2 linked regions of the Arabidopsis thaliana genome follow. The protein of the gene in region 1 purifies or fractionates together with the protein of each later gene. This does not show direct contact. Each region holds a gene or a part of one and is shown on either strand. Other genes may lie near its edges. The genes, in order: SYP51 and SGR4.

Evidence for each region.
Region 2: the proteins of SYP51 (region 1) and SGR4 purify together in Arabidopsis thaliana (affinity purification with western blotting, with the first as the bait; one study listed by BioGRID). This does not show direct contact.

The regions. Positions count from the first base shown.
Region 1 is NC_003070.9:5,554,530-5,558,457, reverse strand, and holds SYP51 (syntaxin of plants 51), read left to right. Parts: upstream 1-1,613; 5' UTR 1,614-1,824; intron 1,825-1,843; exon of another isoform or gene 1,844-2,007; intron 2,008-2,097; exon of another isoform or gene 2,098-2,112; 5' UTR 2,113-2,117; coding exon 2,118-2,332; intron 2,333-2,427; coding exon 2,428-2,633; intron 2,634-2,724; coding exon 2,725-2,825; intron 2,826-2,904; coding exon 2,905-2,949; intron 2,950-3,143; coding exon 3,144-3,275; 3' UTR 3,276-3,615; downstream 3,616-3,928. Other genes in the region: AT1G16250 (Galactose oxidase/kelch repeat superfamily protein), read right to left, coding at 1-334, 513-1,088, 1,243-1,244. UniProt on the Arabidopsis thaliana protein: Vesicle trafficking protein that functions in the secretory pathway.
Region 2 is NC_003076.8:15,819,497-15,823,424, forward strand, and holds the start of SGR4 (Vesicle transport v-SNARE family protein), read left to right. Parts: upstream 1-1,796; 5' UTR 1,797-2,061; intron 2,062-2,511; 5' UTR 2,512-2,538; coding exon 2,539-2,632; intron 2,633-2,722; exon of another isoform or gene 2,723-2,941; intron 2,942-3,160; coding exon 3,161-3,219; intron 3,220-3,306; coding exon 3,307-3,495; intron 3,496-3,599; coding exon 3,600-3,770; intron 3,771-3,928. Other genes in the region: GNL1 (GNOM-like 1), read left to right, coding at 1-414. UniProt on the Arabidopsis thaliana protein: Functions as a v-SNARE responsible for targeting AtELP-containing vesicles from the trans-Golgi network (TGN) to the prevacuolar compartment (PVC) and mediates liposome fusion. May be also involved in retrograde traffic to the cis-Golgi.

The sequences.
Region 1 (3,928 bases):
CTCTCTCGGATGATTAGGAAGAACAACAGAAGGAACTGAACCAACATTGTACCATTCCCCTTCATCTGTATCCCTAGTCTTGATCAAGCTTTCTCCCCAATCTACAATAGTATACACCCGATCATTTTTCATCACCTGAACAGCAAACTGCATGGCTCTAGAGAAAGGCCAGACATCCTCCACAGTGGACCAAGTCATGTCTCGTGGATTAAAAACTTCAGATGAATTTTGCTCTGCAAATCCCACCTGGTCACTTAAAACATGAAAGCAGCCTCTGTACGATAACCCCGAGCAGTCCATCTGTGGTCTAGGCATTGCTGGTAATTCCTCCCACCTGCAATACTACTATGTCATACTCCAGTTTGATAGCTTTTCAGGTGAAACATGAGAAAACTTTTAAAACTATATCTTGACCCATCATAGAAAAAAACAAAAAGAGTACATTGTGGGGTTAAATATGCCAGTTCTATCCTACACGAGAATATAAACCACATTAGTGTGGGAAAAAATACCTATCAGCGACAGGATCATAAACCTCAGCAGATGGGATTCCCCTGGAATGAGTTAAATTACGACCTCCAGCAACATAAACCTTGCCAGAGACAGAAGTACAAGCAAAGTGAGTCCGTGGTGTTCGCATACTAGCAACCATTTTCCATTGTTTCTTAAACGGATCAAACCGCATGACATCTTTAGTGACAACAGGCTTCTGATGAGGAAACGATGACACCGAAGGCGCATAACAACCCCCAATCACAAGAAGACAATTGGAAACACAAACACACGCAAAACCAGAATGATGCCAACCATCTTGAACAGCTCTAGTTCTAGGCAATGGATGCCATCGATCAGCTTCAGGATCATAAGCAACCCACTGATTCTTAGAACGTTCCGTCAACACAAACAACCAGCTCCCTGACCATCCATTTCTAGCTTTATAGCACGAGTAATCAGCACCACGAACTAAATCTCTCCAGCCTCTGGAAACACATTCGAGCACTCCATGATACCCATGAGAAAGCTTCGCTATGCATCTCAAAGCCAAATCATCAGGCAAACCTGGGATTATAGACTGCTCGATTGATTCCCTGAAAACAAGTTTCAGCCACTAACGATCAGACTTATTCAATCAATAATCAACATTCAATGTTTTAAGACAAAACATGATTTTGAAGAGAAAAGGTAAAGGATTGAGATTTAGATTCAACTTTGTGAAGGAAGAACAAGAGAGCTAACACTTACATGAACCGAATCGTACTCGAGAGATTGTAAATGTATCTTCTGATCCCCTTCTCGAACTTGCTTTAGAACACCAAAATCGCGCTTCAAAGTTTATCACTTTCCCGGAAACAAAAACACCATTAACGATAATCGAAACGGAAACTGCAATCAGAACGATATAGTTATGATGGAACTAAGCACAGTCAGAGAGAAACTCAGGATTCTGGCAAGGAAGAGAGGAGACGGAAGAAACAGGCATGAGATGGATAGATCCATTATAATGGGTCGAAAATTTAAATATTCTTTATTGATCCCTTCATTTATATGTTCTTTCTGCTTCTTAACGCATACTTTCTTAAATAACTAATTTAACCCATAACTTTTCCAAGATAACAAGTTAAAACCGCGTCGTTTTATTTCAGCTTCGTCTTTATCTCATCTTTCTTGCGACGGGCCCTGCTACCCGGTGCGTGACAGGTTGAATCATTCTCCTCCGATTCACGGTGATTCCGGCGACTACAGACTCAACATTTAATAAGCCGATCTCTTACATGGTACGAGCTCGGACAAATTGAAGAATACAAAGGTCCGAGAAATAATTTGGTAAGCAATTCGATCCTTTAAACGATGTTATTTTTGTCAATCCGAGTCATTGATGAGGGATTATATCTGTTACTGAATCTCTCTGATCTTCCCCTGATAATGGACTTCATGATCCTGTAAATTTCAGATTTTGAGCCTTGTGCCTCAAAATTGTAGTCAAAGGCCGCGTTTTTGTCTCAATTTGTAGATCTTTGTTGTTGTTTCTGTTGGATCTTACGTATATATCCTTGATCATTTTAAAATTTCAATGGAAGTGATCCAGGCTTTGATTAGCTTTTAATTATATAGGAATAATGGCGTCTTCATCGGATTCATGGATGAGAGCATACAACGAGGCTTTAAAACTCTCTGAGGAGATTAATGGAATGATATCAGAAAGAAGTTCATCGGCTGTCACAGGGCCTGATGCTCAGCGTCGTGCTTCAGCTATACGAAGGAAGATCACCATTTTCGGTAACAAATTAGATAGTCTGCAGTCTCTTCTTGCTGAAATTCATGGAAAACCTATGTAAGCCATTTACTAGTCCAATCCTAATTGCTTAAATCTGTAAATTAGACACCTTTAAGGTTAGTGTTAATCTGAATTATTACTTACTGACACAGTTCAGAGAAAGAGATGAATCGGCGAAAGGATATGGTAGGGAATCTGAGGTCAAAAGCAAACCAGATGGCGAATGCTTTGAACATGTCAAACTTTGCCAATAGAGACAGCTTGCTCGGGCCAGATATCAAGCCGGATGATTCCATGAGCAGAGTTACTGGCATGGATAACCAAGGAATTGTTGGATATCAACGACAAGTTATGAGAGGTAAAACCTCTCTTATCCTAGTAAACGTAATACAGATGTTGATTTCTGTATTTGTTTTTTCCTATTGAATGTTTTATTTTCCTGTGAGTAGAACAAGACGAAGGACTTGAGCAATTGGAGGGAACAGTCATGAGCACAAAACACATTGCTCTGGCTGTTAGTGAAGAGCTTGACTTGCAGACTAGGCTTATTGTATGTCACTAGCTTTTCATTTTTTCGCCTTTGATTTGAATTTTCGGATACTAACACATTTGGATTTTCCTTTATGCAGGATGACTTAGATTACCATGTGGATGTTACTGACTCTCGCTTAAGGGTAATATATGCTTCAACTCTTAAATATTTCAACAAACTAATTACTTTGGTGAATCCCAAGCTTTAGTTGATCCATACTTTCATTAGGAGTAACACTGATGTAATGGTGATCTGTTTTCGGTTTGCTCAACCAAGAACCACATTATGCTTAAGCTAATGGCTAATTAAAGACATTGATCTGTTATCTTATTACAGAGAGTGCAGAAGAGCCTTGCTGTCATGAACAAGAATATGAGAAGTGGTTGCTCTTGCATGTCAATGCTCTTGTCAGTGCTGGGGATCGTCGGTCTTGCTGTTGTAATATGGATGTTGGTTAAGTATATGTAATACCAACATCAGACAACTTATAAGTTCCTCTGTAGGTCCACTGGCCTCTACTCTCTATGTGAATGGTTGCAATGTATTTCCTCATTCCACATTTGTGGCTGAGCTTTTCATTTCTCTTCTGTTACCAAAACCCTTTAAGTAATATATAATGTGTGCAGTTATCACAGTTTGCTCTTTGCTGTCTTCATAAAGATTTAAGAAGTGGTAGCAAGTCAAACACAGAGACAAAAAAACAAAAATTATCTGTAGAATCTTCCACGAAGAAACTTGTCTGAGTTTGTTATAAGAAGAACATTGTGGAAATTTTGTAAAACACCAATATTCATATCATCATCACTGGAAACAAAATTCGCAAAATACGTATCTGATCCTTCATTTTATACATGTGTACTGTTTCTTAATCTCTACATTTGTAAGAGGCAAAACAAGAGATAGTGTAATGCATGTTCCTTTTTTTATTTCGCCAAGAATTGTCAACGTAGGCCTACCTTTCTACGATCATATAAGTAATGGTCTCGTATTTAGAAGATGTCTTCTTTCGAAGGAAACTGCCGTCTGGCTGCGTGGCTACAAAGTCAGCACTCAGCAAGTTGATCTCTTTCTCAATGACAATGATGTATTATTTAAAGGTCCTTGGTGAGCAATTTGATTCT
Region 2 (3,928 bases), on another chromosome or scaffold:
CTCAAGAAAACAGTGGAAGAAACGCTTGTTCTCGCCACAAAGCTCATGTCAAAAGCTTTTCTGCAATCTCTTCAAGACATCTCACAGCAACCATCATTCTGCAGACTTTGGGTTGGTGTCTTAAACCGTTTGGAAACGTACATGTCAACTGAATTCAGAGGAAAACGCAGCGAGAAAGTCAATGAACTCATCCCGGAACTGCTCAAGAACACATTACTGGTAATGAAGGCGACGGGAGTTTTATTACCAGGTGATGATATCGGAAGTGACAGTTTCTGGCAACTAACGTGGCTTCACGTTAATAAGATCTCTCCTTCTCTTCAATCTGAAGTTTTCCCTCAAGAGGAGCTTGATCAGTTTCAGAGACGAAACGCGAAGCCTGAGGATCCTCCGGTACCGGGAAATGAGGTCTGAGACGGTTTTGGTGGAATAGAGAAAATTTGTTCTATACAGATGAAAAAGCTTAATCAAGGATATCAATTTTTTTTTTGCAGTATAGCTTTTTTGTTTTTAATATAGGGGGATTATAATACTTTGGAGTCTTGAGCTTTTGTTTTTTTTATGGAATGTTATGTTGAAATTATGGGTTTGATTGGAAATATATTTGGAGGCAATTTGGAAACTGCTGCGTCTATTATACAAAGAACTTGAAAAATTCAATGGTACTGACAAAGAAAAATGGTACTCATCAAAACCAGAAAAGAAAAGTAAATTTTTGGTCCAAATCTCACTATTTTAATAACATTTTTTAAAAACAAAGAATTAAGAACAAAAACAAAATGACCTATAAAATTTTGGACTCTAATTCTTGGCTTGTGTGACTTTATTAACAGTTAAATATTACAAATTTTCAAACTCTTAAAAATTTAAACTTTATAAAACGTTTTAAATATTTATAATTTATAAACTTTATGAAGTTTTAAATATTATAAATATTTGTTATAATTTTGAATGTTATAAATTTATAAACGAAAAGAACTTGAAAAATTCAATGAAAACGAGTAACGACAAAGAAAAATGATAATCATCAAAACCAAATCTCAATATTTTAATAACATTTAAAGTTTTTAAAAAACCCAAAAAATTAACTAGTAGGCCTGGGCATAATACCCGGAACCGAATATCCGAACCGAAAAACCCGAAAAATAACCAAACCGAACCCGAATCCGATTTTTAGAATTACCCGAATGGGTCCTCGACCTTACTACCCGAAAAAACCCGAACCGAACCCGAACCGAATCTAATACCCGTGGGTACCCGAATACGAATGTAACTTAAATATATTAGTTATATATATATATTTGTAATACCTCAAATACCAAAATTAAAATTATAAATCCGATTATACTAGATTTTTTTAGTAATTCATATATATTTGGATATATTTGGGTAAAAGTAACAAATGTTATAGTTTTCTTTTAGATAATTTAAGTATTTTGGTTACATTTGGTTATATTTGTATAAAAAGTAACCAATATATTTACGGGTAATTGGGTATTTCGGGTTGATTTGGGTATATATGAATAAAAAAACCGAATCTAACCCGAACCCAAAAATATTTTGGGTATTTTTGGTTATTTTTACATTTTTACTAAAATAACCGAACCGACCCAAACCCGAACCGAAACCGAACCGAATTTTTAGAATACTCGAATGGTTCTCAACCTCCTACCCGAATAGACCCAATACCCGGAAAAAAAAACGAACCCGAACGGGTACCCGAATGCCCACGCCTCAATTAAGAACAGAAAAAGAAAAAAACTAACTTTCAGTGACCTATAAAAGTTTGGGCCCTAGAAGAGTCTTTTCGCAACACCAAAAATGGCAGATCCGCAAGCCCAACAAGGCAGTGGCATTGCCAAAAGATCTGGACAAAAAAAAGGCCAAGTGGTGTACAAAGCCTAGATGTAGGATATAATTACTCAACCGTCGAACATATTTTCCATAGATCATTCATAGACGTACGCATCATCAAATCAATTCATCGTCGTCTTCCACAATTGTCATCACCGATCGATTTTCCGACTCCGACGTACCTCCTCTTCCCCGTTACCTTCTCAGGTCTCAATCTGGCTTTCTCTATTTTTCGCCTAATTCCTCTTTTTCTGATTGTGATTCTGCTTTCTAATTTTGATCCTAATTTTTTGTGCTTATACTCCGGCTAAACTCTTCCATTTGTTCCGATCACCGGAATTTTCGTCACTTATTCGTCATCCTTTTTCTCTTTTGATCCGTCAATTTTACTTTTCTGTCTTTTTTTTTTCTCCTTTTTCCCCGTGTTGACATTTCTTTCTTCTGTACGTGATCTAGTTATCTTAGGGTTTTGGACTGCTATACAAAACAATCAATTGATTTTAGTTTTATCTTTTGAATCGTTGTAAGAATTTCAATAGCCTAGTCTTGTTGATGGTTTTGGGCTATTGAATCTGTTCTTAAAGTTTCAGCTTAATGTAATCTGTTCTTAATCAGAATTAGGGTTCATCATCATTGTGTGTGTTGCTGATTCTGCAGAGTTTTTAGTAGTCTTCCTTTGGAACAATGAGTGACGTGTTTGATGGATATGAGCGACAATACTGTGAGCTCTCGGCGAGTCTTTCAAAGAAGTGTTCCTCTGCTATTTCGCTTGATGGAGGTAAAATTGTTACTCTAATCTTTTCTAAGATGTGATACTTTTCCTACTCAGGCATTGCCTTACCTTCCTTAAGATTTGAAATAACTAATTCTGGTTTAGCTTATGAATGTAACAATGTACGAATTAGAGATATCTTGGTTTGTGTTTTTGATGCAGAGTATTGTGCGATTTAGATCCTTTAATTACTACTTCGTTGTAAGGACATAGTATTGGTTTCTGATTACGAAGAGAGCTTGTGATTAGTATTGGTCGCTGATCATCGCCATTTTTTTACACTGGGGATACTTCGGTTTTTGTTTGTTACTGAGAACGATTCTATAGATAGTTTGGTTTGTGTTTGATGACTATAAACTTCTTGTCTCCTTCATGTGTTGCTAGGACATAGTAGTGTGCCTTTCTTTTGCTTTCTTTGGAGATTGTGATTAGTAGTGTTCGCTGATCATCGGGATTGTTTTTTTTCCCCTAGATGAGTATGCTCTGTTGATTGCATAGATAAAAATGCATTGATGATACCTTATTAATTTGCAGAACAAAAGAAGCAGAAGTTGTCTGAAATAAAATCCGGGCTGGAAAATGCAGAAGTATTGGTATGTGATATGCGTAACGTGAAGTTATAGAAGCTTCTCTATTGTCCATTATTCATTTTGATGCTTCTCTGTCCTTTTCTTCACCAGATTAGGAAAATGGATCTCGAGGCAAGGACCCTTCCACCTAATCTTAAGTCCAGCCTCCTTGTCAAATTAAGAGAATTCAAGTCTGATCTGAACAATTTCAAAACTGAAGTGAAGAGAATCACATCTGGACAGTTGAACGCTGCTGCTCGTGATGAGTTGCTAGAAGCTGGTATGGCTGACACAAAGACGGTATGTAAAGGACTCGGTAGTATTGTTTCAATTTTATCTCATCTCATATCTTTGCTATTAAAACGACCTATGATTTTCTTTTTTTATTGAAACGCTGAGATCAGGCTTCAGCTGATCAGAGAGCAAGATTGATGATGTCAACTGAGCGTCTGGGCCGAACCACTGACAGAGTCAAGGACAGTCGTAGAACAATGATGGAGACTGAAGAAATCGGTGTTTCAATCCTCCAAGACTTGCACGGTCAGAGACAGTCTCTCTTACGTGCCCACGAAACGGTATTGTCTCTCTGCAACACATTTACTCCATATTCTCAACGATATTCTGAACAAAGTGACAAAATAAGATGAGAATTAAGGGCTATATCATAAAGAAGACTATGTTTTCTTGTTTTCTTTATCAACGCTGGATTGATATCGCGCTAACCAAAATTTAG